Ovis aries: one gene and its partners. Each later gene encodes a partner of the first gene's protein in a complex. Links are inferred from orthologs where the notes say so. Each region holds a gene or a part of one and is shown in the gene's direction. Other genes may lie near its edges. The genes, in order: ODAD1, ODAD3, ODAD4 and CLXN.

Region 1 (7,257 bases):
GACCAGATTCCTGCCAAGGGGAGTGGGCTGAGGACTTGTGGGGTTGGCACCCTGGTGGGAATTGGGATGGGAAATGGGGAAGTGTGGAACTCCGGAAGGGGGCAGGAGGTGGAAGTTAAGAACCCAGGGCTACCGTTTCCTGCCTAGGGGACCTTGACCAATTATTCCAACTCTCTGAACCTCAGTTTCCTAATCGAGAGTTGGGCACAGTACTACTTATACTGCTGACTATATACTAACGGCAACGATAACAATTCTGATACTTACTCTAAACAAACAAGGCGATACCACTGCACTAACACCCCTAACACATTTTTTCTTTTCCTCATCAAACATTTATTGAACATCTATTATGGACCAGGAGTTAATAATGAAGAAAACAGACGCGAGCCCTGCTGTTCTTATGGAGTTTACCTTCTAGTTGAGCAAGAGAGAGAATGACGCATCAGTACAGTAGCTAGACTTCAGGTGGTGGTAGGGCTTTGAAGGAAATGAAATACAGTGACACTGCTGATGATGGGAGGCAACTTTAAAAGGGTGATCCGGCAAGGTTTTTCTAAGGAGAAACCTCATTCTGAGATGAGACTTGAAGACAAGAGTTATTTGAATGCTGGAGGGAGAGGAAGGACACAGGATTGGAGAACAAGCTCAAGTTGTTTGGGGAGCAGACAGAAGAGCCAGTGTGGCCGGAATATAGGGAACTAGAGGGAGTGGTAGGAAGGGAATTCAAAGAGAGCCCTTGAAGCCTAGGGGAGGAGTTTGGATTTTATTCTAAGGGTGGTGGGAAACCATTGGCGGTTTTAAACAGAAGTGCAGTACCAGGGACTTAATGTTATGAATAACTATTATTGTTATCATTATTATTTATTTTTAGATTATTGAATAAGTGTGGGGAGTGATTACCACTATGTACCTGGGTCTCTATGGAGGGTTGGGTGCTTGGTGAAAAGCAAGGGACAGGGAGCCAGGTGTCTGGGGTCCTGATGTGGAATTAAGAGCTGGAGGACTGAAATCTTGGTCCCCACAGGGGAAAGGAACTGGATGATGGGATGGCTGGGTATCTGAGGGAGCCACAGGGAGAGGGAGGGAGAGTGGTTGGTTATCTGGGCTCCCTGAGGGGGTGAGGGAGGGGCAGTTCAGTGACTGGGTGGTACTCCTAACCCTAACCTGGAAGCTGTTACCACTATGACATAGGCTTTATTCATTATCTGTGATTTGGGGCAGGTTATTAATCTCTCTATGCCTCAGTGTCTTCATCGGTAAAATAGGAATAATAATAGTAAATACCTCAAGGAGCAATGCTTAGAGGAGTGCCTGGCATAGAGAAAGCACTGTTGTACATGCATGTTACATGACACACTGGGACATGGGAGATGAGGTGTCTGGGATTTGGAGAAGGGACAAATGCTTGGGTCCATTGGGTCCCAAGTCTAAAAATTTGGGAGTACAAAATGAAGGTCGCTGGGGGTGGGTAAAGTAGTTACATCTTTGAGAAGGACAGAGACTGGGGGTCTGAACTCAGTTCTCCAAGTAAATTAGGAAGCCTGGGTCACCGGGGGAAAAATGAGGGACTAGAGATCGTTATGTTCTTCAAGGAGGCAAAGGGGCTGGACCTGAGTCCTGGGAGGAGTCTGGGAACCAGGGGCTATAGAGATGGAATTTGAGCGGGGGAGGTGGAGAACAGGAAGCTAGGACTCTGAATCAAACTCCTAGAGTGGAATTAGCGCCAGGTTGGGGTACCCTGGAGATGTTCCGGGCAGGGGGTCCCCCATGCTAGGGCCCTACAGAAGGGGGAGAATTAGGGTAGCGGAGGGCGGTGGTGGAATCTTCCCCTCCTGGGCCTCCAAAGCCACGAGCTGAGCGCCCGCGGGCCTCTTCCTCCCACAGGAAACCGCAGGCGTTGGGCACACCCAGCCTGCAAGGAGCGGCGCCCACAGACAGCAGGCTCTGCGAAGGCCCACGTGGGCAGCAGGCGGCAGTCAAAGGGGGGGGCGTGCCCTGCGGAGCTCGGGGGCGTGCCCGGGAGGGCGTGACCGGAAAGCAGGGGCGGTGCGGAGCGCCCTAGGCCCCGCCCACTTCCGCCTCGCAGAGCGCGGACAGCTCCGGCAGCTGAAGGTTTTGGCAGTCTCTCCTGAGGCCGTTGGCCGCGCATGCGTAGTGAGCGGCTTCGAGGACTTGAGGCAGTGGTAAGCGCTCCTCTCCCTCACAACTCCCGGCATCGGTACCGCCTGCCTGCCAATGAAGCCTCAAAATAACGTGGTCTTAATCAGCTTAATACACGCATCTCTCGCGCCCCATCCTGAAGGACTTCGGCCCAGTTCCAAACCCTTCCGGACGTTCCCCTCCCAGCCCTGCCTCCACAAGCTCTTTCAGCTACTGCCTCTCCCTCTTGGAAACACACAGCCTACCCCTCACAACCCCGTGCTCCTCACACAGATCATCTCGGCGGTTACCCTCAGCACCCCCTACAAGTCTTGGGAACCTGCGTCCTTCCAGCGCCCTCCCGCCAGGTCTCTCACGTGTTCTCCCAGCCACGCCCCTCGCCACCCCCCGAAGCCCCACCCCTCACAGGGCCCGCAGCCCTGCCCTTTACAGGTACTCTTGTCCCTCCCCTCTCAAAGCTCCGCAGCCCTGCTCTGGACCGTTATCTGTGTCTCTGCCTTCGTCAGGTCCCGCAGCCCCAGCCCTCTCCAGTCCTTCAGCTCTGCTTTTCCCTCGCTAGCCCCGAAGCGCCGCGCCTCAGGCTCACGCAATTCCCCTCTCCTCAAAGGCCCCTTTCGGCCCCGCCCATCCTAGTCCTCCACAGCTCCGCCCCTCGCCCGGCCTACAGTCCCGCCCTTCACAAGGCTTACAGTTCGGCCCTCACAGGCCCTCCCAGCCCCGCCCCTCGCAGGACTCCCGAAGCCCCGCCCTCAGCCCCGCCCCTCGCAGCACCCCCGAAGCCCCGCCCTCGTAATGCTCCCCTAACTCATCTGTTCTTAGCACCTGACCGTGAAGGCTTCGTCGTGGCCTCGTCGGCCCCTCCTCCCTAGCCTCCCCTCCCACGGCTTTCTTCTGTGGCCTTGGTCCCTCCCCGGATGCTGTCCTCACACCTTCACTGGCCCCTTATCTCCCCAGTAACCAGACCACAACAGTGAGCTTGGAGTACCCAGGACAGGTCAGGCATTCCAGCAGGTAGGGACCGGGCCTCGCTCTCCTCAGCCGACCGGGGCTGGGGTTTCCCCTGCCTCTGTGATGCCTCCTCCCCAAACAGCCCCACCTCGGAGATACCGAGGGTCTAGAGGACCCCGTGCCAGAGTCAGAGCCGTAACGCAAGACAGAATGTGAGAGGTGGGAGGTTGGGAGGGGCTTGGGAAGAGATCTGACAGGTGCCCCGCTCTGACTCACTGGAGGAATTGAGACTCAAAAAGAGGCCAGTTCTGGGGTCACCCTCTTCCAGTGCCTAGTCCCTCGCTGTTCATTGCCCACCCTCCTCGCCCACTCCTCACCGTCTGAAGGGGTCCTGTGTCGCCCCTACAGGAGCCTCACCCTCTTTGGCCAAGATGCCTTTTGGACTCTCGGCTGGGAGCACTCGCTCCGAGGATGGAAGTGAGGCCTTCCTGGAGGGAATGGGTAATTCCTACTTTCTTTATTTCATTCATTCTTTCCCCCGGTTTTCCCATGTTTCAGGTCCTGTGCAGCGGGGCCCTGGGGACCAGGAGGGTTTTCAGGAGCGCCCTCTAGTGGCTACACACTTGCTCCAGAATGGAGGTGGAGCCGGACCTGGGGAGTGGGATGGCTAGAAAGGCTTCCTGCAGAAGTTTGAGTGAGGCCCAGAACTTCTCCCAGGAATTACCAACAGGAGAAGGAAGGGAAGAGTGTTTCTGCAGAGAGAACAGGATGTGACTAAAGCAAAGTCTCTTTACCTCCACATCGTTGACCCTTGGGGTCAGGGATCAGATCATTCTTGGATATTAGGGGGAGGGTTCTGTGCACTGGAGGATGCGCAGTGCTCCTCTGGCTTCTACCCACTGCATGCCAGTAGTACCCTCCCGACCCTCCCCTACACTGTGGCAATCAAACATGTCTCCAGACACGGCCAAATGGCTTTAAGGGGTCAGAATTGATCCTGGTTGAGAACCAGGCCGTGGGGGATGGGGAGCTAGTGGATGGGACCAGAGAGGTGGGTAGGGTCGGGTTTGTGGGGCCTGGAACCCAGGCTGTGGAGCTGCAGCTTTGGAGGTGCTGGAGCACAGGGAGGTCTGTGACCGCTCTAGGCATGGAAAGAGCCTCTGGAGCTGTGAAGGGAGGCCAGGAGGTTGGGGAGGAGGCTGGGGTGATGGTCCAGGCAAGGGAAGGTGAGGCCTGAGCCAAGGGGATGGGCTGAGAGTGAGGAGGCGGGAGGGTGGGGCTGAGGAAGGGTGGTGGTGGGGTTGAACAGGAAGGATGTAACAAGAAAAGTGTCCCCCCCCTTCCCCGGGAACTTGGCACATGTCCCCAGCTTTCCCAAGTTCTAGGTCCTGTGCTTCTGGTCCCTGAGGACTGTGAGGCTTCCCTGGAGTTCCCTCTAGTGGGGAAACAGAGGCATGCCCAAACCCTGGATAGAAGTAGCTTTGGGGCCGGGGAAACGCGGAGGTCAGCTTAGGGTACAGGCAGTATGCAGGGATGAGGAAGCTTGAGAGATACAGGAACTGAGAGGCAGCCCTAGAGTGGTGCGGGGGACTGGGTCTGCAGTTTAGCTGCAGTTGGTGAGCCCCTAAGGGAGCCAGAATTCCTAGGGTTGGAGAGGGAGGGGCTGGATTCCTATGAATCCCTTGCCTGGTCCCGCGCCTCAGTGGACTGGGAGCTGAGCCGACTGCAGCGACAGTGCAAAGTGATGGAAGACGAAAGGCGAGCCTACAGCAAAGAAGTCCATCAGCGCATCAACAAGCAGCTGTGAGCCTGGGTCCCTGGAGCTGGGGAGGGGGCTGTTAAGGAGGTGGGGGGTTGCATTCCTGGGTCTGAGAGGGGAGGGCAGGCTCAGTCTGTCTGGACTTCAGTGATGCTGAGCTCTGCCCGGTTCTGGTTTCCCCTCCCCCTCCCTGCCTGGGCAGTGAGGAGATCCAGCGCCTGGAGGGGGTGCGAAACAAACTGCAGGTGCAGATCAGCGTCGCCCAGAGCCAGGTCAGGCGGCTGCGGGACAGCGAGAGGCTGGAGAGCATGGGCCACCTGCTCAAGTGCCAGGTCCGGGTGCAGGCCGAGGTCAAGGAGCTGCAGGCGCAGAACCAAGCCCTGGACAGGCAGGTGGGTCCTGGGGCCAGACTCGGTGGGTCCTGCTCAGGGTCAAGTGTCATAACCTCTTTGAGCCTCACCTTCCTCATCTGAAAAGTGGGGTTATCGAAAGCATCAAAATGGGATCGTTTCAATGGGGTTATTGAAAGTTATTGAAAGCATCCTCTCAAGGGAGTTTGTGTTCAGGCTCCCATAGGAATTATGAGTCTTTACTGCTTAGCACAGCCCCATGCCTTCAAAAAAGCGGTTAAGAGGGCAAGAGTCACCTTCTGGAGTCAGTGCACCCTGCATTATAATAGAATTTTGGTCCAGGCGCATCAGAGCTACGTGACCGTGGGCAAGTCATCTTCTCTCTGGGCCCGAGTTTCTTCATCTGCAAAAAGAGAATGTGGGTAATGCAGCAGAGTCTAGACCGACTTTTCATCCTGTTGGCTTCAAGATCCTGTTATTTGACCCTGGAAACGTGACTTTTCTAGGCGAGTGTTTTTTTCAGTTTTTAGGACCAGGACTCACTGTGACACAGTTCATTTACAAAGAGATGCATATGGATGTAAACACACATACAAACAAATATGTCAGAAACAAAAGTTTCCCCAAATAATATTCTTCTCCACATGGGATCCATTATATTTTCTTTCTTTTTTTTTTCCATTCTATTTTCAATTCTACTCTTCATTTTAAAAAGTTTCTTGCCAAAAGACTTCCCTAGAGGTCCAATAGTTAAGATTTTGCCTTCCAATGCTGGGGAGTCCTGGTTCAATCCCTGGTGAGGGAGCTGAGATCCTGCATGCCTTGGGCCCAAAAAACAAAACACAAAGCAGAAACAATATTATAACAAATTCAATAAAGATTTTAAAAATGGTCCACATCAAAAAAATCTTAAAAAAAAAGTTGTTTGCTGAGACCAAAAGATTTCTTGCACATTACTGGATCACAAATAGGAGATTGAAAGTTAATTATCTTGGTGGGCTGTATTAGTTTGCTATTGCTGCTGTAACGAATTACTGCCTACTTGACTTAAAGTGACTTAAAGAGAACTAAAGAGCCTCTTGATGAAAGTGAAAGAGGAGAGTGAAAAAGCTGGCTTAAAGCTCAACATTCAGAAAACTAAGATCATGGCATCCAGTCCCATCACTTCATGGGAAATAGATGGGGAAACAGTGTAAACAGTGGCTAACTTTATTTTGGGGGGCTCCAAAATCACTGCAAATGGTGATTGCAGCCATGAAATTAAAAGATGCTTACTCCTTGGAAGAAAAGTTATGACCAACCTAGACAGCATATTAAAAAGCAGAGACATTACTTTGCCAACAAAGGTCCGTCTAGTCAAGGTTATGGTTTTTCCAGTGGTCATGTATGGATGTGAGAGTTGGACTATAAAGAAAGCTGAGTGCTGAAGAATTGATGCTTTTGAACTATGGTGTTGGAGAAGACTCTTGAGAGTCCCTTGGACTGCAAGGAGATCCAACCAATCCATCCTAAAGGAGATCAGTCCTGGGTGTTCATTGGTAGGACTGACGTTGAAGCTGAAACTCCAATCCTTTGGCCACCTGATGTGAAGAGCTGACTCATTTGAAAAGACCCTGATGCTGGGAAAGATTGAAGGCAGGAGGAGAAGGGGACAACAGAGGATGAGATGGTTGGATGGCATCACCGACTCAATGGACATGGGTTTGGGTGGACTCAGGGAGTTGGTGATGGACAGGGAGGCTTGGCGTGCTGCGGTTCATGGGGTCTCAAAGAGTCGGACATAACTGAGCGACTGAACTGAACTGACTTAAAGTAATACCAGTGAATTATCTGGCAGTGCTGGAGGACAGAAATCCAAAATGAGTTTCACTGGGCTAAAATCAAGGTGTTAGCAGGCTGTGTTCCTTTAAGAGCCTTCAGGGGAGACTCCATTTCCTGCTTTTTTTTCCTGCTTCTAGAAGCTGCCTGCATTCCTTGGCTTATGGCTCCTTTCTTTTAAAAAATTTTTATTCTTTATAAAGTGATTTATTTTGATAG
Region 2 (7,161 bases), on another chromosome or scaffold:
CCTCAGTCATGTCTGACTCTGTGTGACCCTATGGACTGCGCCCTGCCAGGCTCCTCTGCCCATGGGATTCTCCAGGCAGGAATACTGAAATGGGCTGCCATGCCCTTCTCCAGGGGATCTTCCCAACACAGGGATCCAACCCACTTCTCTCACGTCTCCTGCACTGGCAGGGGGTTCTTTTACCACCAGTGCCACCTGGGCAGCCCCTACTTTTATGTAGTTTCAACTTTTCTATCATGCATGGGAGGATGAAGGATATAGATTCTAGAGGCAGATTTTCTGGGTTCAAATATACTGGCCCTACATATGCTATTAATAATTGTTTGATCTTCATGGACCAAGAATAATGTAATTGCTCTCAGTTTGTCCAACCATTAGATGAGGATAGTAACAGTACCACCCCATAGGTAGTTGAAATGTGTAAAGTGCTTAGAACAGTGCCTGGCACATACTATGGAGTGTGAACCAGTGGTTCTCGATGGACTTGGGCTATTTTGCTCCCCAGAAGACACTTGGCAATGTCTGGAGACATTTTGGTTTGTCACATTGTTGGGCAGCGAGGGGGCGGGGTTTGTTACTGGCATCTAATGAGTAGAGGTCAGGGATGCTGCTCAACATCTGATGATGCACAGGACAGTTCAACACAGCAAATAATCATCTATCTCAAATGTCAGTTGTGCCGAGGTTGGGAAATCTTGGTGTAAACTTATTGCTTTGTTGTTAGGAGGTAATGTTGCATAGTGGTTGAAAGTATGTGCTGGGGAGTCTGACTGTTTGTGAACTTGAACAGTCTAATAAGCATGAGCCTTCTCATGTGTGAAATGGGTATAATATGGATATGGGTATGTACATACTGGCACATCCTATCTGACACCTAGAAAATGACTAGTCCATCCCTGGCTTTCCAGTGGTTAAGATGCTGCACTTCACTGCAGAGGGTGTGGGTTTGATTCCTGGTTGGAGAACTAAGATCTCACATGCAGTGCAGTACAGAAAAATAAAAGAAAAGGATTAGTCCAGTATCTCTACGTGCATGCTCAGTCACTCAGTCGTGTCCAACTCTTTGCAACCTCATGGACTATAGCCCACCAGCCTCCTCTATCCATGGGATTTCCCAGGCAAGAATACTGGAGCCAGTTGCCATTTCCTACTCTTGGGGATCTTCCTGGGCCAGGAATCGAACCTATGTCTCCTGAAGCTCCTATACTGGCAGGTGGATTCTTTACGACTGATCCATCTGGGAAGCTCCAGTCCTGCATCTAATGCATGACAAATGCTCAGAGTAATATTGTTATACTATTGATACCTACTAAAAGATCTTCCCTCTGGGAAGTCCCCCCTTCCGTGATGCTCTGCTTCTGCCTGCCCACCTCACATGACCCCAGAGGGTGACCGGAAGGCCTTTTATGAGAGCACCCAGTGGAACATCAAGAAGAATCAGGAGACCATTAACCAGCTCCGCGAGGAGACCAGGGTACTGCAACTACAGTTGACAGCCCTGCTCCAGGTGAGGTGGACGAGGTTCCAGGGGTGGGGAGGCAGCGTCCCCAGGGGGTGCTCTCAAGGAGAGGGTGGCCGGAATTTGTATTGTGACCCAGGCTTTCCTCCCTGCAGGGAGATGAGAAAGTGGTCCAGGCACTGATTCGAGAATGGAAGTCAGAGAAGCCGTACCTGAAGAACAGGACAGGCCAGGTTTGCCTCACTCCCATTCCTCTGACCACCTCCCTTCATTTCTAGCCTGGGTCCCCACCTGACTCCCTGACCCCCATCTCACCCTCTCCAATCCCTTCTCCACACCAGCTGCCATTAATTTATTTCTCAGTCTTTCTCACACACTGACCATGTGCCTGGCATGGCTTTAGGTATTGGTTGCCATATGGTGAAAAACACAGACCATGTCCCCACTCCTCAGAGTCATCTCAGTGGAGAAAGCAGACACCCCCCACCCCAAGAAAAGAACAATAAACATACAAAGAAAGTGATTTCCAATGGTGACAAGAGAAATAAATAAAACAGAGTGGCTCACTAGAGATGGATGGGGGTTAGGGGTTTGCCTTTTAGATTATGAGGTGGAGATCTTTGCTTTCTTTAGGAAGGTGATCTTTGAGCTGAGAAGGGGTCAGGCAAGTAGTGATCTGGGGGAAAGCATTCCAGACAGATGGAACAGCAAGTGCAAAGTCCCTTGGGTAGGAACAAAGGTAGAGTGTTGGAGACACAAAGGAGGTCATTGTGGCAGAATGGGAGTGAGTGAGGGGGGCTCCATAGGCAGCGAGGTTAGGGGGGTGATCAGGGACAGAACCTTGCATCAGGCTTTGCTGCACGAGTGCAGATTTTATACTAAGAATCAGAGAAGTGAAGGGACTTCCCTGGTGGTCCAGTGGTTAAGACTCTACACTCCCAATGCAAGGGACCCGGCTTCAATCCCTAGGCAGGCAACTAGATCCCACATACCACAATTAAATATCCCATGTGCTATAACTATAGACCAGGTGTAGCCAAATAAATATTAAAAAAAAAAAAGAGAGAGAAGTGGAAAATGGGCTCTGAGGAGGCAAGAGTTAGAAGCCATCCAGAGGAGGTTATCAAAGTGAAGGATGATGCTGGCTACACTAGGCCAAAAGAGATAGAAATGGGAAGAAAGAGATCTATCTGGCTCAGTCATATCCAACTCTTTGCGACCCCATGGACTGTAGCCCACCAGACTCCTTTGGCCATGGAATTTTCCAGCAAGAATACTAGAGTGGGTTGCCGTTTCCTCATCCAGGGGATCTTCCTGACCCAGGGATTGAACCCATGCATCTACTGCCCTGCAGACAGATTCTTCACCACTGAGCCACCAGGCTCTCTCTGGAGGAAGCTTTGAGACAGAATAGAGAATTGCTAACAAACTGGGTGTAAGTGGGAGAGAAAAAGAGAAGATGAGGCTGACGTGAAGGTTTGGGACTTGAGCACCTGGAAGGACAGAGTTGCCATGAGCTGAGATGAGGAAGATTCGAAAAGGGCAGTTTTGGGGAAAGATCAAGGATATACTCAATTTTTGACAGATGGTTTTTGAGCTTCCTGTGGAGACATCTAGAAGGCAGTGTAGATGTGGATATACGAGCCTCAGGGGGGAGGCTAAATTGGGATATCTTCAGTGTAGAGGTGGGGCTTCCCAGGTGGTGCTAGTGGTAAAGAAGCCACCTGCCAATGCGGGTAGGCATAAGAGACGTGGGTTGGATCCCTGGGTCAGGAAGATCTCCTGAAGCAGCGCATGGCAACCCACTCCAGGATCCTTGCCTGGAGAATCCCCATGGAAAGAAGACCTGGCGGGCTCCAGCCCATAGGGTCGCAAAGAGTCGGACATGGCTGAAGCCACTTAGCATGCACTCATGCAGTGTAGACGTGACTCAGAAAACCCTGAGGCTGGATGGTATCAAGTGGTATGTGTGGTCAGATGAAAGAAGAGCCTCTCAAAGGCAAAGGAGATGGGTAAGGGGCAACCAGGGCGGTGGCTGCCCACCTGGAAACCAGCCCCCCCACCCAAAAAAAAGAGAATCTGCAGGAGAAGCAGGATCAGCCAGGTTTCAGAGGCTCTACCAAGAGACGAGAGAGATGAGAACCAAGACGTGGGAGAAGGAAGGACTAGGTGGGGGTTCAGGCCCCCACTGTTGCTTCCCTCTCTCCAGCAAGCCCTGGAGCATCTGGACTACCGGCTGAACGAAAAGGTGAAGCAACTGAACGCTCTTCGGCACCAGCTGGGCCTGCGGCAGAAGTGGCTGGAAGAACTCCAGCTGCAGCACAGTCTGCGCGAGCTGGAGATCGCCGAGGCACAAGACAGCAACACCGAGATGGCCAAGGTAAGGCCTGCCGGGTCTGCAGAGGCCCCGATCCTGCGGGAGGCGCTGAGCGGGGAAGGGATCCAGCCCAGGCTTGCTTCCCTCTTGTTGTTGTTCAGTTTGCTCAGGCGTGTCTGGCTCTTTGAGACTCCATGGACTGCAGCACACCAGGCTTCCTTGTCCTTCACCATCTCCCCGAGTTTGCTCGAACTCTTGTCCATTGAGTCAATGATGCCATCCAGACTCATTCTCTGTCACACCCTTCTCCTGCCTTCAGTCTTTCCCAGGATCAGGGTCTTTTCCAGTGAGTCTGTTCTTCACATCAGGTGACCAAAGTATTAGAGCTTCAGCTTCAGCACCAGTCCTTCCAATGAATATTCAGGGTTGGTTTCCTTTTAGGATTGACTGGTTTGATCTCCTTGCTGTCCAAGGGACTCCCAAGAGTTTTCTCAGCACCACAGTTCGAAAGCATAAAGAAAGCAGTCAGCCTTCTTTATGGTCCAACTCTCACATCTGTACTGGAAAAACCATAGCTTTGACCTTTGTTGGCAAAATGATGTCTCTACTTCCCTCTAGACCATGCGGAACCTGGAGAACCGCCTGGAGAAGGCCCGGATGAAGGCAGACGAGGCTGAACACATCACCAGTGTGTACCTGCAGCTCAAGGCCTACCTACAAGTAGGGACCAGGGCGACTGGGGGTGGGTGGGGGGCAGCACATGGGAGGGCCAGTCAAGTTAGGGACATCGGTCACAGGCTCAACCATCTCTCACCCCCAGGAGGAGAGCCTTCACTTGGGGAACCGGCTGGACTTTATGGAGGCTGAGGTGGTGAGAACGAAACACGAGCTGGAGGAACTGCACCTCGTGAATCAGGAGGCGCTCAACGCCAGGGACATCGCCAAGGTGCCAGCCCACCGGCCCCTGGGAATCCTGCCCTGCCACTGCCGTGGTCTCCTGGCCTCAGCATCTGAACCCCAGCTGCCCCGAAACCCATCCCGTCTCTGTCCCAGGACCCCACACCTTGCCGCAGTTGTCTTGAGTTGGGCCTGCAGCCCTGGCCCAGAGCCCCAGTAGACGCCAACAGGTCCTGTCGTTCCCCCGTCCACCCTCCAGAACCAACTGCAGTATCTGGAAGAGACCGTGTTCCGAGAGCGGAAGCAGCGCGAACGCTACCTAACCGAGTGCAAGAAGCGCGCGGAGGAGAAGAAGCTGCAGAACGAGCGCATGGAGCGCAAGGTGGGCGCGCTAGGGACACGGCCGAGACCCCAGCGTGCTCCTGCCTGGATCGGACCCGCGGGGTCCCCGCCGCGCCCCTGCGTTGGCTCAGGCCCTAGACCCTTCCGCAGTCCGCAAGTTTCTCCTGACTCTGCCCCCAGCTCCCCAGATGCCAGGGCTCCTCCCACATCCCTGACCCCGCCCTCCAGCCCTCCCCTTACTCTCCTGGGGTCCTCATCCTTCCCCCCAAACTTGCCCATATCCGAAATTGATCCCCACCTCTAACCGTCCCCTTATCCGACAGGCCCCGCCCCCACGCTCCTGACCCACCCCGCTGACGATGCCTCTAAGGCCTCCCTCTAACCAAGGCCCTGCCAAGCACTCCTGACCCCTACCTGGATGCCTTGCGTGTGTGCATGCTAAGTGGCTTCAGTCGTGTCCAACTCTTCGACCCTATGGACTGTAGCCTGCCAGGCTCCTCTGTCCATGGCATTCTCCAGGCAGGAATACTGGAGTGGGTTGCCATGCCCTCCTCCAAGGAGATCTTCCCGACCCAGAGATGGAACCTGCCTCTCTTGTGTCTCCTGCATGGGCAGGCTGGCTCTTTACCCCTAGTGACCCCTGGGAAGCCCTGACTTGGCCCCAAGCTTGGGCCCACCCCCCTTTCTGAACCCGGTCGGGAGATATTTTCCCAATGCCCCTGGCCCCTGCCCTAAGCCTCAGCTGCGGACTGACCCGGGCCCTGACCCCCACCCATGAGCAGACCCAGCGTGAGCATGTGCTGCTGCAGTCTGACGACACGCTCCAGGACAGCATGCACTCCAAGGAGGAGGAGCTGAAGCGGCGCTGGAGCATGTACCAGATGGAGGTGCTCTTCGGCAAGGTCAAGGACGCCACCGGCGTGGCAGAAACGCACGTGAGTGTGCCCTCAGCCCTCAAGTTCCCAGATGGCCTGAGCCGACCCTGGGAAGCCGACGAACCCAGCCTCCTTTTTTTGCCTGGTCAGTTCTCAGCGTACAAAAAAAGACACCCCTCCCTCCTTCAGCTGCTGCCCCGTTTCTCTGCTACCTCTCACAGCAAAAGTGACACGAGTTATCTACACTGGCCACCATCCTGTCTTCTGTTCCTTATTTTAAAACATTATTTTGTTTCTTTATATTTGGCTGTGCTGGGTCTTCACTGTTGTGTGGGCTTTGCTCTAGATGCTGGGAGCAGCGGCTACTGTCTAGTTGCTATGCTCCATGGGCTCCTCATGGCAGTGCCTTCTCTTGTTGCAGACCACAGGCTCAGGAGTTGCAGCCCCCGGGCTCTAGCGCACAGGCCAGGAGTTGCAGCCCCCAGGCTCTAGCACACAGGCCAGGAGTTGCAGCCCCCGGGCTCTAGCGCACAGGCCAGGAGTTGCAGCCCCCAGGCTCTAGCGCACAGGCCAGGAGTTGCAGCCCCCGGGCTCTAGCGCACAGGCTCAGGAGTAGTGGTGCACAGGCTTAGTTGCTCTGCGGCATGTGGGATCTTCCCAGACCAGGGATGGAACCCATGTCTCCTGCATTGGCAGGCAGATTCTTTGCCCCTGGACCACCAGGGAAGCCCCTCTCTCCTGTTCCTGCATACACTGGCCCTGACTTCTTTGGCATGTCAGCACTAGGAGAATGGGGAATGTTGTCTCTCCTCTCCTGTATCTTCAGCCTCTATAGCAGGGTCTGGGGCCCAGTACCAGCCTCCATCCCAGAGAGGCTGGGCCCCTACTCTAGGACCCGCGCTTGGCAGCATCTTCCTCAAAATTTTCTAAGACTTTAGGTCCCCAGCTGTGAAAGTGTGAAAGTATTAGTCGCTCAGTCACATCAGACTCTTTGCGACCCACGGACTGTAGTCTGCCAGGCTCCTCTGTCTGTGGAATTCTCCAGGCAAGAATACTGGAGTGGGTAACCATTCCCTTCTCCAGGGCATCTTCACTATGCAGGGATCAAACTTGGGTCTCTGACATTGCAGGCAGATTTCTTTATCATCTAAGCCACCATGGACGTCTCTGGCTGGTCAACACTAATTCCTCTGCATCCCTGTCTGATTTCTCTGTTTGGGGAACTCTCTAACCCACTACTCATCCCATGGGGTGACCCCCAAGGAGTTCCA
Region 3 (7,161 bases), on another chromosome or scaffold:
TAGATGAGGAAGTCTTCAGTCCCACCATCCAAAGACAAGTGTTCATTCTGATTCTCCTCTGACTTTTATTGATATTTTGTTTTTTCATCCCAGTCTTTTTCATTGTGTTGATTTTCTCTTAAATGTGCTTAATCATATTCTTAAAGGTTATGTGTGGCCTTCCCTGGTGGCTCATATGGTAAAGTGTCTGCCTGCAATGAGAGAGACCTGGGTTCGATCCCTGGATCGAGAAGATCCCGTGGAGAAGGAAATGGCAACCCACTCCAGTACTCTTGCCTGGAAAATCCCATGGATGGAGGAGCCTGGTAGGCTACAGTCCTTGGGTTTGCAAAGAGTCGGACACAACTGAGCAAATTCACTTTGACTTTCAAAGGTTATGGAGTTATTTCAAATGCTATTTTACAAGCATTATTTTCAACTGTGGTATCAAAGCCAATTCTATAGATGCACCAAAATAACCCTGGTAGTTTAAAAAATATGATAGTGCTTGTTAGCTCCACTCCTGCACCTAAAAGAACTGGTAGTTGGAGGACAGTTTTCCTTCTGCCACCAGTAGGAAGCCCAGCCTCCTAAGTCCGAGTACAGGGCCTGAGTGGAGGACTCTGACCCAGTTCTTGGTGTCTCCAGGTGGGAGGAGAAGATCCCTCTGGCCAAAACCACCCTGGAGAAGACCTGGCTGTTCCATGAGATTGGCCGCTGCTACCTGGAGCTAGACCAGGCCTGGGAGGCCCAGAGCTACGGTGAGAAGTCCCAACAGTGCGCCGAGGAAGAAGGGGACATGGAGTGGCAGCTGAATGCCAGCGTCCTGGTGGCGCAGGCACAAGGTACAGTGCCCTTCCCAGCCCTCAGGCCCTGCCGTGACGCCCGCGCTGAACTTTCCCTCCTGATGGGCCAGACAAATCCTGATTCTGAGAGTGGGGATAAACCCCCGTGTTTTGACCAGTGTGTATAGTGCCTACTCTAAGCTACACTCAGTTAGGGCTTGGGAGACCCAGAGAACTGCCCTGCCCTTGAGGAACTCAGCTGAGCTGCAGGCAGGCCAGCACAGTGTCACATCCTCATCGAAACAGCTGCACTCCTCTTGGCTCAGTAGCCTTTATACATGCATTCTCGCTGTAATCACTCTGCAAGCGAGTGCTGGAGGTATTGTCCTCCTTTTATAGGCTGGGAAACGGAGACTCTGAGTGGTGCTGCAGATTGCCCCAGGTCTCGAGAGGGCGCTTTTTTAGGGGGCTGGGAAAGTCCTCAAGCTGAGTTGTGGTGTTCATTGCACAAGTCTATAAATTTTCTAGAAATCATTGAACTGTGTACTTACAAAGGGGTACATTTTATACTGAGTGAATCATATTTCAATACAGTTAATGGGCTTGTTAATAAAACAGCAAGGAATAGGGGTGAGGAGGAACAGATGGAACAGGATTGGCAATGTTCTGATAATTTTTAAAAACTTTTATATTAGAATATAGTTGATTTACAATGTTGTGTGAGCTTTAAGTGACCAGCAAAGTGATTCAGTTATGCAAATACATATATCTATTCTTTTCAGATTCTTTTCCCATGTAGGTTATTACAGAGTATTGAATGGAATTCCCTGTGCTGTGCAGTAGATCCCTGTTGATTATCTATTTTATATATAATGCTGCTAAGTCGCTTCGTTCGTGTCCAACTCTGCGCAACCCCATAGATGGCAGCCCACCGGGCTCCCCCGGTAGTGTATTAATATATATGTTAATCCCAACCTCCTAATTTATCCCTCCCCACCTTTTCCCCTTTGATAAGTTTGTTTTCTGGGTGTTTCTGTTTTGTAAATAAGTTCACGTGTATCATTTTTTTAGATTCCACATGGAAGTGACATCATATGATATTTGAATCTAGGTGATGAGTAATGGGGATTCATGATACTATTCCTTTGACTTTTCTGTATATTTGAAATATTTCACAATACAAGTTTAAAAGGAGAAGTAGCTCTAGGCCACAGTAATAAGGAAGCCGCGGAGCTGGGTCTTCTGTTCAGTTTCGGACCTGCCCTGCCCTGGGCACACGGCTGACCCCAGAGAGGGGGTAAGCATGACAGGCACTCTGATCACGGGTCTCATCACTCATTCACTTACTCACATCATTAATGCTTTCCTGGCACCTTCTAGGCACCAAAGCTGGGCATACAGTAGGAAGCAAAATTGGTAACTGTTCCTGCCCTCCTATCTGAGGAGTGACTATTTTTTAATATTTATTTGTTTGGCTGCACTGGGTGTCAGTTGCAGCACATGGGATCTTCACTGTATCACGTGGGTCTTTCACAGCTAGGTACTCCTTTGTGGTGTGTGGGCTTGGTAGTTGCAGCTTGTGGGCTTAGTTGTTCTGAGACATGTGGGATCTTAGTTCCATGGCCAGGGATCGAACCCTCGTCCCATGCATTGCAAGGCGAATTCTTAACCGCTGGATCACCAGGGAAGTCCCTGAGGAGTAACTTTAAAGCAGAATCATTAAGAACACAAAGGCACCAGTTCCAAGTTCTGAAGGCAGAACTTTTCCGCCAAAGGAACCGCATTTAGGGAGGTGGGCAAGAGTTTGGCTGATTTAAGAAACTGATGGAGACCAGTGTTGAGCTTCTGGGGGCCAGGAAAGTCTGGAGGAGGGAGGCTGGTGAAGAGCCAGATCCACAGGGCCTCTCAGGCTTCCTTACACATCGTGGATTCTTTCCTAAAAACATAGAGGAAAAAACCACTTGAAAGCTTGAAACTGGGGAAGATGTGATTACTGTGCCTTTTCCTAGAACCCTTTGCTGTTTCTGTGATGACTTTTTTTGTGTTTGCTTTTTGGCTGCACTGCAACAGGGCTTGTAGGATCCTAGTTCCTGACCAGATAGTGAACCCGGGCCCTGGCAGTGAAAGCGTGAAGTCTTAACCACTGGACCACCAGGGAATTCCTGTCCCTGATGAGGTCTTGTTAGGCTCTGAGGGCCTCTGGAGGAGCAGGCCACTCACTACTGGCCTCAGTTTCCATGCTGTATGGTGGAAAAGTCCAGTCCAACACAGCAGCCAAAGAGCCCCTGGGTTATAGAGGCAGCCTGGCCAAGCGGGCAGATCTTGGGCTCTGCAAATAGGGATAATTATAGTATGTATGCTAGAGAAGGAAATGGCAACCCACTCTAATATTGTTGCCTGGAGAATCCCATGGACAGAGGAGCCTGGGAGGGCTACAGTCCATGGTGTCACAAGGAGTCGGACACGACTGACACGTATAGTGTGTACGTATCTTCTTCATAGTGTGAAGACATGAGGTAATGGCTGCGCATGTAAGCACTTAGAATAGGAACCAGCATATAACAAGCTCTCAGGAAATACTCATTTCTTCCTTCCTCCCCATCAGCTTCCCATAAGTGTTTCCAACAGTGGTAAGAAACAATTAGTCCCTGGAAAAGCCAACAAAAATATGGATATACCTGTGTGGATTTGTGGATGCACAGAGTGAGGAAAAGAAGAGGAAAAGGGCCCCCAGAATGGAGATAATTTCAGGTTATAGATTCAGTTGAAAACAAATAGAATGGTCTTTAATGCTTCCACTCACTTGAATGTTGACTCCTATTCTGACCTACCATGTCAGAATGACGTAGACATTTATTCATGGAGGCCTCTGAGGCATTACTGTGAGTTTTCTTCTTTTCAAATGTGTATTTGAGAAAGAAATGTATGTTGACGCCACAGACTTTTCAAACTATGCTAGAATCACCTTTCAAATGTAATTGCCTTTTGCAATTTGAGCTGTGGATCCAAGGCCCTTCTTTCCCCAGGAATCCTAAAGCAGTTTGTGGGAGAGGGGTAGATCTTGGGGTGCTAGTTACAAGAGGAAGCAGTGGAGGGACTTCCCTGGAGGTCCAGTGGCTGGAACTTCATGCCCCCAAAGTAGGGCGCTCGGGTTTGATCCCTGGTCAGGGAACTAGATCCTGCATGCCACAACTGAAACCCAGCACAGCCAAATTAATTAATTTTTTAAAAAAAGCGGAAGCAGTGGTGTGTAAAGAGAGTGAAGTGTGGGGTTCCCAGCCCTGGCAGGCGAGCACTTTTCTCCTTCCTTCCTGAAATTAAGGTTTTTCCAAAGGCAGTCAGTTCATAGCCCTCATCCCTGGCCCAGTGCTAACTGGTCAGGTGAGTACCCTGGGGTGGGTGGGGGGCTGCTTCCTTCCTGGGTTCAGATTATTCCAACATGGGCACTGATGTCCCAGCCACTGGCTCATGAAGAGTCACATCCAGTCCTGCCAGATTGTGTTTGGTGTCCACAGTGTTCTTAACAAATCTGAGTAAACATTAAAAAAGAAAAAAAAAAATAGATGTCTTCTCCTGGAACCATTTAAAGATGGGGTATAGTGGGAATTCCTAATAATGTAATTTCATGGCCTTGAGAAATTTCACAGAAATAGCACTTGGAATAACAGCATATATTAAGAAACTATATTGATGATTCTTTTTCATGTCTTCTTAGAGTTATAGCCTTGTTACAAACCCCAGGGCCAGACCCAGAAGGTATTATGACTGGGATCATAAAAGCATACAGCTTGGAATGCTGGGTCAGCGTCAGGCATGAACGCTGCCTACACACTTGCTAATTGTTCCCAAGACCAGCCCAGAAGGGAATGGACTGGGGTAAACGCAAGGAGCTCTGGACTATGTCAGTGTAGTCCATGCTGTTTAGGAGTATGTGATTGATACGGCATGTGTCTTGAGAAAGATAAGATCTGAGAAAGTCTTATGGTCTGCAGTTAGGGATAAAAGCTGGATTCAGAGTGGACTCTGCACCTCAGTCCAGTAGAGGCTGCTGGTCCCCTGACCCATTGCACCAGATTTCACATTCTGTCTTCATTCTCGTCGCTCACTCCCAGACCATTAGGGCAACAGTGGGGCAGGATGGAGTTGTCCCCCTGGAGACACGTGATGTGGGCACAGACCCCTTCCCTCACTGACTCTTGGCACCTGAAATCCAAGGCTCCAGTGCCCAGGTTCTGTTCCCTAGTGGTGAGGTGGCCCAGGAAATGTCTGGAAAGGGTGGCGCTGGGCAGCCTGGTGTTGCTGCTCCTGAGGGCCCCTGGTACCCTACTATTGTACCCTGAATATGTACACTGATATTATGTCACTATCCTCATGCTCCCTTGTGCCCTTCAGTGAAGCTGAGGGACTTCGAATCGGCCGTGAACAACTTTGAGAAGGCCCTGGAGAGAGCAAAGCTGGTCCATAACAATGAGGCGCAGCAGGCCATCATCAACGTGAGCCTCTCTCTCTGGGGCTGGGGATGGGCAGGCCCCGGGACCCTCAGCCCCAGATGTTTATTTCCCCCCAACCGCAGAGCACCTTCTAGGTCGGGCAGTGGCTTTCCAGTGTCTGTTGTTGCCATCAGTTTATATAGCAACCCAACCAATACACATACTGTTAACTTTGTTTTGGCCACACTGCACAGCAACTTAAGGGATCTTAGTTCTCCAACCAGGGATCGAACCCACACCCACTGCAGTAAAAGTCAGCATCCCAACTACTGGACTGCCAGGGAATTCCCCTCAATACACATAGTTTTATTTGAAAAAACATGAAAAATAGCAAGTTTTACAAAACATATTTACCTTTATTGTGTACACTGTATTTCTTACTCTATTTTCTTTTTTCTTCTCATTCCTTGTCTTTAATGCTGGCTGAGACCCTGTAAACTGACTTTAGGACTTGCGCTTGGAAAAGTGCAGCCCCCACAGAAGATAATAGAAAAGGAGCGTGATGGCCTCACTCACCAGTCCAGACTTGCGCTGCTCAGTCAGGTGGCCACTAGCCACCTGCAGCGTTTAGCATAAATGGAGTTAGAAGTAAACGAGCGTTGCAGTTCAGTTCCTCAGCCACACCAGCCACATTTCAAGTGATCAGTTGCCACGTGAGGCCTCTGGGTAACACAAGGTGCAGATCTAGAGTCTTTCCGGCATTGCACCAAAGGTGATGACGTGGCCCTGGCCCTCGGGAAGCTGAAAACACAGTCCCTCACTCCTGACTGGTGCGGCAGGGACTAGGGAACTCAGACTGAGAACTCCAGCGGGCAGGCAGAGCTGGGCCTTTCCCCTCACGGAGGCGGAGGTTTCGAGGTCACCTCGGAGGCTGGGCAGGGCTTTGAAAGTAGGAGACAGAGAGAAGTGCCCATCAAGCCAAACAGACGCACGGCCCTAAATGGCTCCTCAAGGGACCTAGTCCCTGACCTCTCACCCCCTGATTGGCATCTCCAGGCAGGAAAGCATACCAAGGGGCAGACTGCACTGCCCAAGAACATCCAAGCCTGGCGATCCAGGGGCTGTAGACATTCCCTGAGTGTCTAGAGGTGTTCCACCCACGGCAAGTCACAGGGAGGGCTGCAAGAGAGCAGCGTTGCCCTCAAGAAACAGCACAGGCTGAGTTCCCAGTCCCTGGCTGTCCTGCAGAGGCCCTGGAAGCCGCTCTGAAGGCAGGCCAGCCCCCAGCCCCACCCCCACCCACGGTGTGCTGCTGAGTCCCCTCCATGGCTTGCTGCCTGGCTGCAGGCTGAGGGGCTTGCCTTGTCTCCTTTAATTTGGCTGAAGCTTTAGGAATCAGCAGACAGACGCAACCCCTTAAAACATGCCTGAGTCTGAGGGAAATGAGTTTGAGTCACCCCCAGTGGTGTATCTCTCATACCACTTAGCGTGGGGAGTTCCAAGTCCATAGGATCCATGAACCTCAGGCAGGAGTAGTCAGAGGAGCCAGGAGGAAGGGGCCGGGGGCAGGGTTGGGGCTTGGGTGGGGAAAGGACAGGTCCTACAGCGTTAAGAGAGTTCACTGATACTCCTCTCACCCACAGGCCTTGGATGATGCTAATAAGGGCATCATTGAAGAGCTGAAGAAAACCAACTACAGGGAGATACTCAAAGAAAAGAAGGAGAAAGGTGAGTTTTGGAGCTGGAAGACGGCATCTTCAGAAACCTGCCTCTGCTCTCCTTCCAGTTGTCCTCGCCCCGCTTCCTGCTGCCCCATCAGTTGGGCTTGGCACTGCCCACTGAACATTCTGATTTCTGTGCCGCCAGCAGCCGTTCCCAAGGCAGGAGGGGGACCCCTCAGCCTGTGGTCAGATCCCATGCTGTCTGCCCTATTTCTTCCATACTTCTGTATTTTTTAAAAAGATGCA
Region 4 (7,913 bases), on another chromosome or scaffold:
ACGATTTACTCACCTCTCTGAAGAGCTGTCCTGGGGGACAGGGGGAAGGACATGTGGGAGTCCTGGAGTGGGGAGACAGCTCCATGCTGTCAGAGGGCTGTGGGGAGCAGAAGGGGGGAGAGAAAGTGGTTAGAGATGGTCACCTGTCTAAAAGGTTGGCCACAGTCCCCCCAAAACTTCTCAGCACTCTCCCTACAACCTAAAACTGGTACAACTGGATATAAATTATGTAGATAAGTAACCTCTATATTTTCCTTTCATTAAAGTAATTTCATAGTAGATTTGCAATATACTTGGAAATCGATTCTGTGACGTCATCTCCCACAGTTTCCAAATGCCTCCATTATAAAAGGTCCACATTAAGTGAAATACTGTCATCAGTTTGACATTCAAGCTCTTTATCATGGCAAAACTTCAGTTAATTGTGAGTCTAAGAGGAGGCTGTTTTGCACACAAAATTAAAGGAAACACTCATAATCACTCTAATACACCATTGTATCCACAAAAGTATCCATCCCAAAGCTGTTCGAACTCTGGACAGTCCATTGGCTATTTCTTACACAGCACAGAGTGAGCCCAGTTTTTGATTATTCTATTACTGATTGACTTGATATGAGGTAACTGTTCAGGCTTAATTGCTTCACTCAGAAAAAGCCCTTGGGACGCAGTCCCGCATCTCTTTCACACAAGCAACTAAACCTAAGAACAGAAATTACAACCAGTCTCAAAACACACTCAGCAGACTCCATCAGGCCCACAGCTTGTTCTAAGGTATAAAAATACTAAGTTCAAAAAGGCACAAGAATGTAGAGAATGCTCTGAAGCTGGCCAACATGTGGACAAAACATACCTCTGATAAATACCTGCTTTCCCTGAGAAAGGTTTGCAAGACTGTACGGGTGTGAGGCCAGTTCCACAACCCACCCTCTGAGATACTAGGGAGATGCTATGACACGCTTGTAAAGTTCTGGCTAAAGGAATAACACAGAAGAAAGACCTGGGAGCGAGGGTGGGAGCAGGACGCCTCACCATGGTTTCTTGGCAGGTTCGGGATTTCTGCTGGTAGGACAGCTCTGACTCCTAATCAGGCTTCTGTCATACTGCCTTCCAGCGGCTCTTCCACTTTGAGGGAACATGGATGGTGGGACCTAGGCCTGAAAGCTGTGAAGGAAGAATTGATCTGCTCCCCAAAGGTGCTTAAGAAGCTTCCGGCACATGAAGTGTGCAGAGATGCGTGGACACATCAGATGGGCCAGCAGGGTGTCTGTTCAGCACACCTGGTAGACACAAGAGGGGCCAGCAGCTTCTCCTATTAACCACTACCACTCTTTCAGCTGCTTGTCTCTACGATGAGCACCCCAACAATCTCTATGGACTAAGTATTTGCCATATCTGACATCTGACAAGTCCCTAAGGTCTCACAGTGAATGTATCCGAATACATCCACCCCTATTCATTCCCTACAATCCTATTAGAAATGCCACACCTGCCCGACAAGACTATGCATAGGAATACCAGTTAGCCATTAACTGGAAAACTCACAATCACTATCATTTCATATTAGTTACTGTTCTCAAGGAATCTGCTTCAGGATAACACAGTGCCTGCCTTCCTCAAGCATCCTTGACTCTGGATTCAAACAGCATCCCAGTCTTCCATTCCATAACAAATGAAAAAAGAAAACAGAATCAGAGACCTGATTTGGAATCGTTACTCATGGTCGGTAGAATTTTTCTGCTTTCCATTTCACAATGATAGTACACACACTATAAAATAATTCATATTAAAAAGAATTACTGCTTCTGAAGTGAAACAAGTGACATGTTGGAGAATATTGTACAACCTTTTCCTTCTGGCTGAACTAACCCTTGTTACTGTCTTAATTCAAACACGGTGTCTTATCTGTGTTAAAAGCAGAAACTTCTCTCAGAGTAAAGATGTAAAAATTAGCCTTTGTTTGCAGTCAAAAAACTTGTCTTTCAAATAAGTAAAAGATTCATTTTGCTGGGATATTCTTCCAGAAAAGCAAATTCAGGTTGTACCCCAGAGCCACTGTCCTTTGTCAGCATGTCTTTATTTGGAAGGTTGACTCTATCCAGCTTAAAAAATTGCTAGGGGGTTTTCCCCATATTCGACTGACAGCCTCCGCGCCTACCTCAAGAATGAGCAGGGAAGGGAAAAAAATAAATAATTATTACAAGTTCCTCTTGCTCTCAGTAACATCATCAAAACCTTGAAGATATCTTGCTGCAGACTCCCTTCTGGCATCAGAGCAAAAGGACTGGCAACCTGAGAGCAAGCCCCTCACCCTCCCTTCCTGCACAGCTGTCGTCCGGATCCACGCCTGCTCATTCCTGCATCCCCCAGGTTCCCAGACCTCCCTGAGGACCTGGCGTCACGCTCACCACCCAAGACATCCCCGCACGGAGCGCAAAACAAAATTCAGACCTTGACTTACGGTGCAGCACAGCAAAGGGGTTGTGAATCCGAGCCAGACACACCTGGATGGTCACTCGCCGATGTCACAGTCGGAAAGCGGTCGGAGGGCGCCTGGCCCGATGCCCAGTGAGAGAGCTCAGACCCAGCAACCAATCAGCGGCCGCCCGAGGGTTGCCATGACCACGCCGCCTGTTAGGACCGCGCCCTCTCCTGCCCAGCAGCCAATCGGCGGCCGCCCAGACGTTGCCCCGGCCACGCCGCGTGTTAGGACAGCATACACACACAGGGGAGACCTGCCTGCAGCCCCAGACCCAGGGCTCGCAACCGTCCTGGCAGCCGCCGCCGGACACCGGCCTCTTCCCGGTTTCCTGAGCTCCCAACATGAACCGCAAGAAGCTGCAGAAGCTGACGGACTCCTTAACTAAAAATTGCAAGCATTGTAAGTAAGAATCAAGGGCTGGGCGGGCAGAGACTCCCGGGTCAGGCCCTATCCTGCGGGTGCTAGAGTCTGGTCTGCAGAGTCCCTCCACGCCTGACCCTAAAGAGAAGTCTGGAAGGGAACACTAGCATCAGCTACTTTGGGTGGACACCCACAGAGCCCAGGATCTTAGGGAGCGTTTCCAGGTGTCGAGGCACCAAATTCTACACTCATGCATGCACGTGCTTGCTTCTCAAACCTTCTCTTAACTTCCCCTTACCTTATAAGAAATGTGATTTAATTACCCTGAAGACGTATGTGGCCCTAGCCTCAGATTTAGGTGGAAAACAAGCACTAAAAACCCACTGGAATCAAGAGAAGTAGCACAACAAAAAGCTCTTCTTAGAGCAAACCAACTGGCAAGGTCCAAGTTCTGGACATTACTAAGCGAACCTTATGGGAAAGTGGTTATCAATGGTTGAACATCCTTAGGAAAGGTGGGTTAAAGCGGTACAGAAACCTGTATCTCAGGGCAAGGAAATGTGCCTGGAAACCAAGGAGCTCAAAAAAGCTAATCACACAATACAGTATCTGTTCCCATCTCTGGGGCCCCACTTTCCTGCAAAGTGAAGGAGACTTGGCAGGTGACAAGATGAACACCTATGAAAGATATTAATGTTAATAACCTCCCTACTCCCATCTCACACATATTCTGAAAAGTGGTCCTAGAATTTCACAGGTAACCTTATAATTGTATTCAGACTCAAAAACAGAACTGTGCTTGGGCAAGGAAGCTATGGATCTGGTATAAATATTTGATGATCCAGCTTATAAGTTATGTGCTTATTACAAAACTACTGGCCTCTTAAAAAGTACAAGAAACCATAATCCCAAGACTATTCCCATGGTGCAAAGAAAGAAGAGCAAACATGTTTTGATGTAGTTTTAAAGATTATGGAATCTAGTGCCTTCTAATCAGAGTTAGTATCTTATATAATGAGAGGTAGGAAAGTCTGTCAGGATGGTGCTGCAAATAAAAGTTATGGTATGTATAAGCATCTTAAACTCTGAAAATGAAAGTTGTCCTATAATCTATTATTATGGTTACTATAATCTGAGAGTTTTGTCCTATTGTTTTTCTTAAAATACTTTCATTTGTTGGAAAAGACCAGATTTTCTTAAAACATCTAGTCACATATTGAATGAACAATGCAATAACTACTATACACGGCAAACACTGAATCTGATTTAGTTCCTTTTCCAGTGTGTTTGCAAATGTATTGCAGACATTCTGTGAATATATTAAAAGATAAGTGAAAACGGGACAAGAAAACCAGTCAACAGTTTTGATTTTTGTCCTTCACATAAAATTTTTAAAGTAAGTCTTAAGAAACTTGATGATTAAATTCTGTAGAAACAGTGAGAATCCCGGGCCAGGCAACTAATCATAGACGTTGTAATAATTTTGAAACTTTACACAGAAGACCTTTCTTCTAAAGTCAGATTTCCTTTTAGTTGCCAGGTGATGTTCCCAGCAGGATGAAGTGAGTAGATTTTGCAGAATCAGAGAAGAAAGTATCTTAAGTGGTGGTCTAGTTAATCCACCACCTGGCAGATCTGATCTGCAGAGCAGACTTACACCAATCTGAAAAGATGAAAAATCCCTTCTCCGATGTCCCTAATTTCATTTAGTATTGTATTCTTGAATTTAAGAAACATTTCAGCAAGAGAATTTTTCCTGTGGAAAAATTACTCAGCTTTGATACTTTGGGTAATAAGCTAATATTCTTTCATTTTTATTCAGCTGAGATGGGAAAATGGCTAATCAACACCCCCTCAGCTAGCATTTCATATACAGGAACAGATCGCATCATCTTTCATGCAAGTCTCTCTTCTCTAACCATTAACATCACTTTTTATTTTTAGAGTTTTTACTGTGGTTAAACACACACAATGTATTACACAAATTGTGTATTACACAAATACACAAAATGTATCACTTTAATTATTTGAAGTGCACAGTTCAGTGGCATTAAGTACATTCGTATTGTTGGGCAGCCATGCCCCTCATCATCTCCAGAACTTTCCCATCTTCCCAAACTGAGTCCCCATGAGACTATTGGTCCCTTCCTTCTCCCCTGGCCCCTGGCACCCACCACCTACTTTTTTGTCTCTGTGAATTTGACTACTCTGGGTACATCATAGAAGTACAATCATAAAATATTTGTTATCTTTGTTGGCTTGTTTCACTCTAGCATGTTGTATTCAAGAGTTATGATATGGTAACATGATTCACAACTTCCCTCCTTTTTGAAGCTGAATCATAGTCCATTGTATGGATGGACACCCATCTACTCATCCTTCCCTGGACACCTGGGTTACGTCCACCTTTTGACTGTTGTGAATACTCCTGGTATGAACACTGGTACACAGGTATCAGAGTCCATGCTTTCAATCCTTTGGGGAAAATACCCAGAAGTGAAATCACTGGATTGTGTAGTATTTCCATGTTTAAGTTTTTTGAGGAAGTGACATACTATTCATACCATTTTCTGTGGCAACTAACAGCTCTTTTAAAAATTATAATCACTGTATCATTGTCTACTATTTATCAATCTATTTACTAAATCATTTATTTTCTGAAGTTTTCAATGTTCCTCTTAAATTGTGGTGCCCCAAACCAGAAATCACCTTCAAACCTGTCCTGGCCTAAAAGACGAGATGGGATTTACCCGCTTCTCTGTGCTGTTTCCTTGTACATGGACACATCTTCCTTGTTTTTAAAAATGCTCAACCACAATTTTGTCATGTTTTGAAATAACATCTTCCCCATCTTCCACCTGTAGTTCATATTTAAACTCCTTTTTATGTTCTTAACGCCAGACACTAATCCTTCCAGCTAGGCACCTCAGATGGTGCTTGGGACACAATCAGCTCTGTGTTTACTGGGCCACCCTTTCCACAGTCATGCACACTGCAAGCAGGCACGTGTGTGCACACGCTTTAGACAAAAGTGTTCTTCCTCCAAGGTGCTGCTCTGTGGTTGCCTGTTCATTTTCACATCACCCACAGCCCACACTTCCTGTGTGCTAGCATATGCTTAAATCCTTTATTGGAAAATAGGTGATTCTGATTTCCAAAATCTGACTCATGGCTTCACAAAAGCTAATGTGAGATGCAAGTTGGTGCCTAGTGTGGGGGAGATTGGTATCTATCTCCAGGGGAACGCTACACTGTAAATCTCATGAATGCCTGTAATCAAAATGCTGCAGAGGGCTTCCCTGGTGGTCCAGTGGTTAAGAATCTGCCTGCCAATGCAGGGCACACAGGTTTGATCCCTAGTCTGGGAGGATCCCATAGCCATGGAGCAACTTAGCCTGTGCGCCGCAACGATTGAGCCTGTGCTCTAGAGACGGGGAGCTACAACTACCCAAGCCCTTGTGCCCTAGAGCCTATTCTCTGCAAGAGGAGAAGCCACCGCAGTGAGAAGCCCATGCACTGCGACTGGAGAGTAGCCCCTGCTCGCCACAACTAGAGAAAGCCTGCACATGGCAGTGAAGATCCAGCGCAGCCAAAAATGAACAAATAAAGAAAATTATTTTTTTTTAATGATGGGGAAAATTACCATTCTTCACATCACCATGCTCACCTCTGCTGCCTTGTTCAGGTTATAATCAGACCCCACAGTTGCCTTTCAGGTGACCTGGCTGATATTATCTTTTTTTTTTTTTTTCCCAAATATGACAGCCTTAGTGCATGGGAGGGATGGCTGTTGTTTCTGCTGTGGCGAGACTCTGGGGTGGTGGGGTCCTCTGTTAACCTGGGGGTCATGAGTCTCAAAGCAGGGTCGTCTCCTGTCGACAGCTGGCTGTGGACGGCTCCAGTGTTGTTTGTTTGCAGACTCATTCATGCAGAGTTGAAGCTGGACTTAAAAGGTTAAAATGCCTTTTGTTATGTCTTAATTTTATTCTTTCCCAGTTAGTAAATTTGAAGTGAAATGCCTTATCAACCTCTTCTATAACCTGGTGGGAGAAGTGACCGAGCGGCAGGGCGTAATCATTGGGCTGGACCGCAACGCCTTTCGGAACATCCTGCATATGACGTTTGGGATGACAGACGACATGATCATGGACAGGGGTGAGCAGATGCCAGCATCCTGATGGGCCAGATCCAGCCGCAACTGAGGGAAACAGTTTGAAGTTCAGGCAAACCCTGGGACAGACGCTTCATGTTCTGTGATCCCAATTCCACTTGAACATAAAATTTTAATTTTCATATTTGTAGGGAAGAAGATAGCGACCACTCTTTTCGTGTATTTAAGAAGAGGACAAAGTCAGCCTGAGTAACTAGGTTTCCTTTACCTTATATCAGAAAACCCCAAACATTTCTATTTCTACTTGGTAAATAGAATAGTTTTAAAATAGTTTCAAAAGGACATTTAAATGTCCTTATACCATTGAGAGTATTTCAGTAAAAATTAAGATATAGCCTATCATGTAGTAGCATTACTTTCATTGAGTAACAAAAATACAAAATTATATATTTCATGTTAACATACCAACATGTAATATACCAACTTGTTTATATGTTAATTGTTGATTCATGTCTTTAGATATTCAGTGTGCCTATTCTCACAAAGTATAAAGGGAGAATGTAAAAGCTTAGGTGAAAGAGTTTTCCAGTGTTATGACGTCTCAGTTTTCCATTTTGTCAAATGAGAATGTGGGACCACATGGTCCTGAAGTTTTGCTTAAACATGAAGAGTGAGCAGTGTGGCACAGGCCTTCACTGAGAATACAAGCTCAGCACAAGCGTTATGTTGTATGTCTCTCTCTTTTTTTAGTTTTCCGAGGGTTTGATAAAGACAACGATGGTTGCATAAGTGTAATAGAGTGGGTGTATGGATTATCAGTGTTTCTCCGAGGAACTTTGGAAGAAAAAATGAAATGTAAGATTTCATGCCATCCTACTGGTTTGTACTTTATGATAAGCAGGTGCAAAGAATGTGCATCAGTGTGGTGGGTTTCTCTGTTGTTTGCTTGATTTGAACTCCCAC

Evidence for each region.
Region 2: the proteins of ODAD1 (region 1) and ODAD3 are in contact, whole or in part, in a cryo-EM structure (PDB 9CPB), measured with the Bos taurus proteins. The link is inferred for Ovis aries from reciprocal best matches to the Homo sapiens genes ODAD1 and ODAD3. Residues at the interface, in XP_024834988.1 of Bos taurus: Leu31, Gln32, Gln34, Cys35, Met38, Glu41, Arg42, Tyr45, Val49, Arg52, Ile53, Gln56, Leu57, Glu59, Ile60, Leu63, Glu64, Val66, Arg67, Leu70, Arg71, Gln73, Ile74, Ala77, Gln78, Asp86, Arg89, Leu90, Ser92, Met93; in NP_001095517.1 of Bos taurus: Gln69, Leu73, Lys76, Ile77, Leu79, Leu80, Asp83, Arg84, Phe87, Tyr88, Thr91, Asn94, Ile95, Asn98, Gln99, Thr101, Ile102, Leu105, Arg106, Glu108, Thr109, Leu112, Gln113, Gln115, Leu116, Leu119, Gly122, Asp123, Val126, Ala129.
Region 3: ODAD1 (region 1) and ODAD4 share a complex: the UniProt entries of both Homo sapiens proteins name them as parts of the outer dynein arm-docking complex. The link is inferred for Ovis aries from reciprocal best matches to the Homo sapiens genes ODAD1 and ODAD4.
Region 4: ODAD1 (region 1) and CLXN share a complex: the UniProt entries of both Homo sapiens proteins name them as parts of the outer dynein arm-docking complex. The link is inferred for Ovis aries from reciprocal best matches to the Homo sapiens genes ODAD1 and CLXN.

The regions. Positions count from the first base shown.
Region 1 is NC_056067.1:54,787,057-54,794,313, reverse strand, and holds the start of ODAD1 (outer dynein arm-docking complex subunit 1), read left to right. Parts: upstream 1-2,855; intron 2,856-3,117; 5' UTR 3,118-3,157; exon of another isoform or gene 3,158-3,519; 5' UTR 3,520-3,542; coding exon 3,543-3,612; intron 3,613-4,814; coding exon 4,815-4,914; intron 4,915-5,072; coding exon 5,073-5,262; exon of another isoform or gene 5,263-5,623; intron 5,624-7,257. UniProt on the Homo sapiens protein: Component of the outer dynein arm-docking complex (ODA-DC) that mediates outer dynein arms (ODA) binding onto the doublet microtubule. Involved in mediating assembly of both ODAs and their axonemal docking complex onto ciliary microtubules.
Region 2 is NC_056058.1:13,531,671-13,538,831, reverse strand, and holds part of ODAD3 (outer dynein arm-docking complex subunit 3), read left to right. Parts: intron 1-1,385; coding exon 1,386-1,507; intron 1,508-1,614; coding exon 1,615-1,692; intron 1,693-3,668; coding exon 3,669-3,839; intron 3,840-4,394; coding exon 4,395-4,496; intron 4,497-4,596; coding exon 4,597-4,722; intron 4,723-4,932; coding exon 4,933-5,055; intron 5,056-5,797; coding exon 5,798-5,950; intron 5,951-7,161. UniProt on the Homo sapiens protein: Component of the outer dynein arm-docking complex (ODA-DC) that mediates outer dynein arms (ODA) binding onto the doublet microtubule. Involved in mediating assembly of both ODAs and their axonemal docking complex onto ciliary microtubules.
Region 3 is NC_056064.1:41,851,346-41,858,506, forward strand, and holds part of ODAD4 (outer dynein arm-docking complex subunit 4), read left to right. Parts: intron 1-146; coding exon 147-305; intron 306-627; coding exon 628-824; intron 825-5,156; coding exon 5,157-5,257; exon of another isoform or gene 5,258-5,930; intron 5,931-6,837; coding exon 6,838-6,922; intron 6,923-7,161. UniProt on the Homo sapiens protein: Component of the outer dynein arm-docking complex (ODA-DC) that mediates outer dynein arms (ODA) binding onto the doublet microtubule. Plays an essential role for the assembly of ODA-DC and for the docking of ODA in ciliary axoneme.
Region 4 is NC_056062.1:32,837,566-32,845,478, reverse strand, and holds the start of CLXN (calaxin), read left to right. Parts: upstream 1-2,723; 5' UTR 2,724-2,820; coding exon 2,821-2,878; intron 2,879-6,835; coding exon 6,836-6,994; intron 6,995-7,700; coding exon 7,701-7,805; intron 7,806-7,913. UniProt on the Homo sapiens protein: Component of the outer dynein arm-docking complex (ODA-DC) that mediates outer dynein arms (ODA) binding onto the doublet microtubule. Seems to regulate the assembly of both ODAs and their axonemal docking complex onto ciliary microtubules.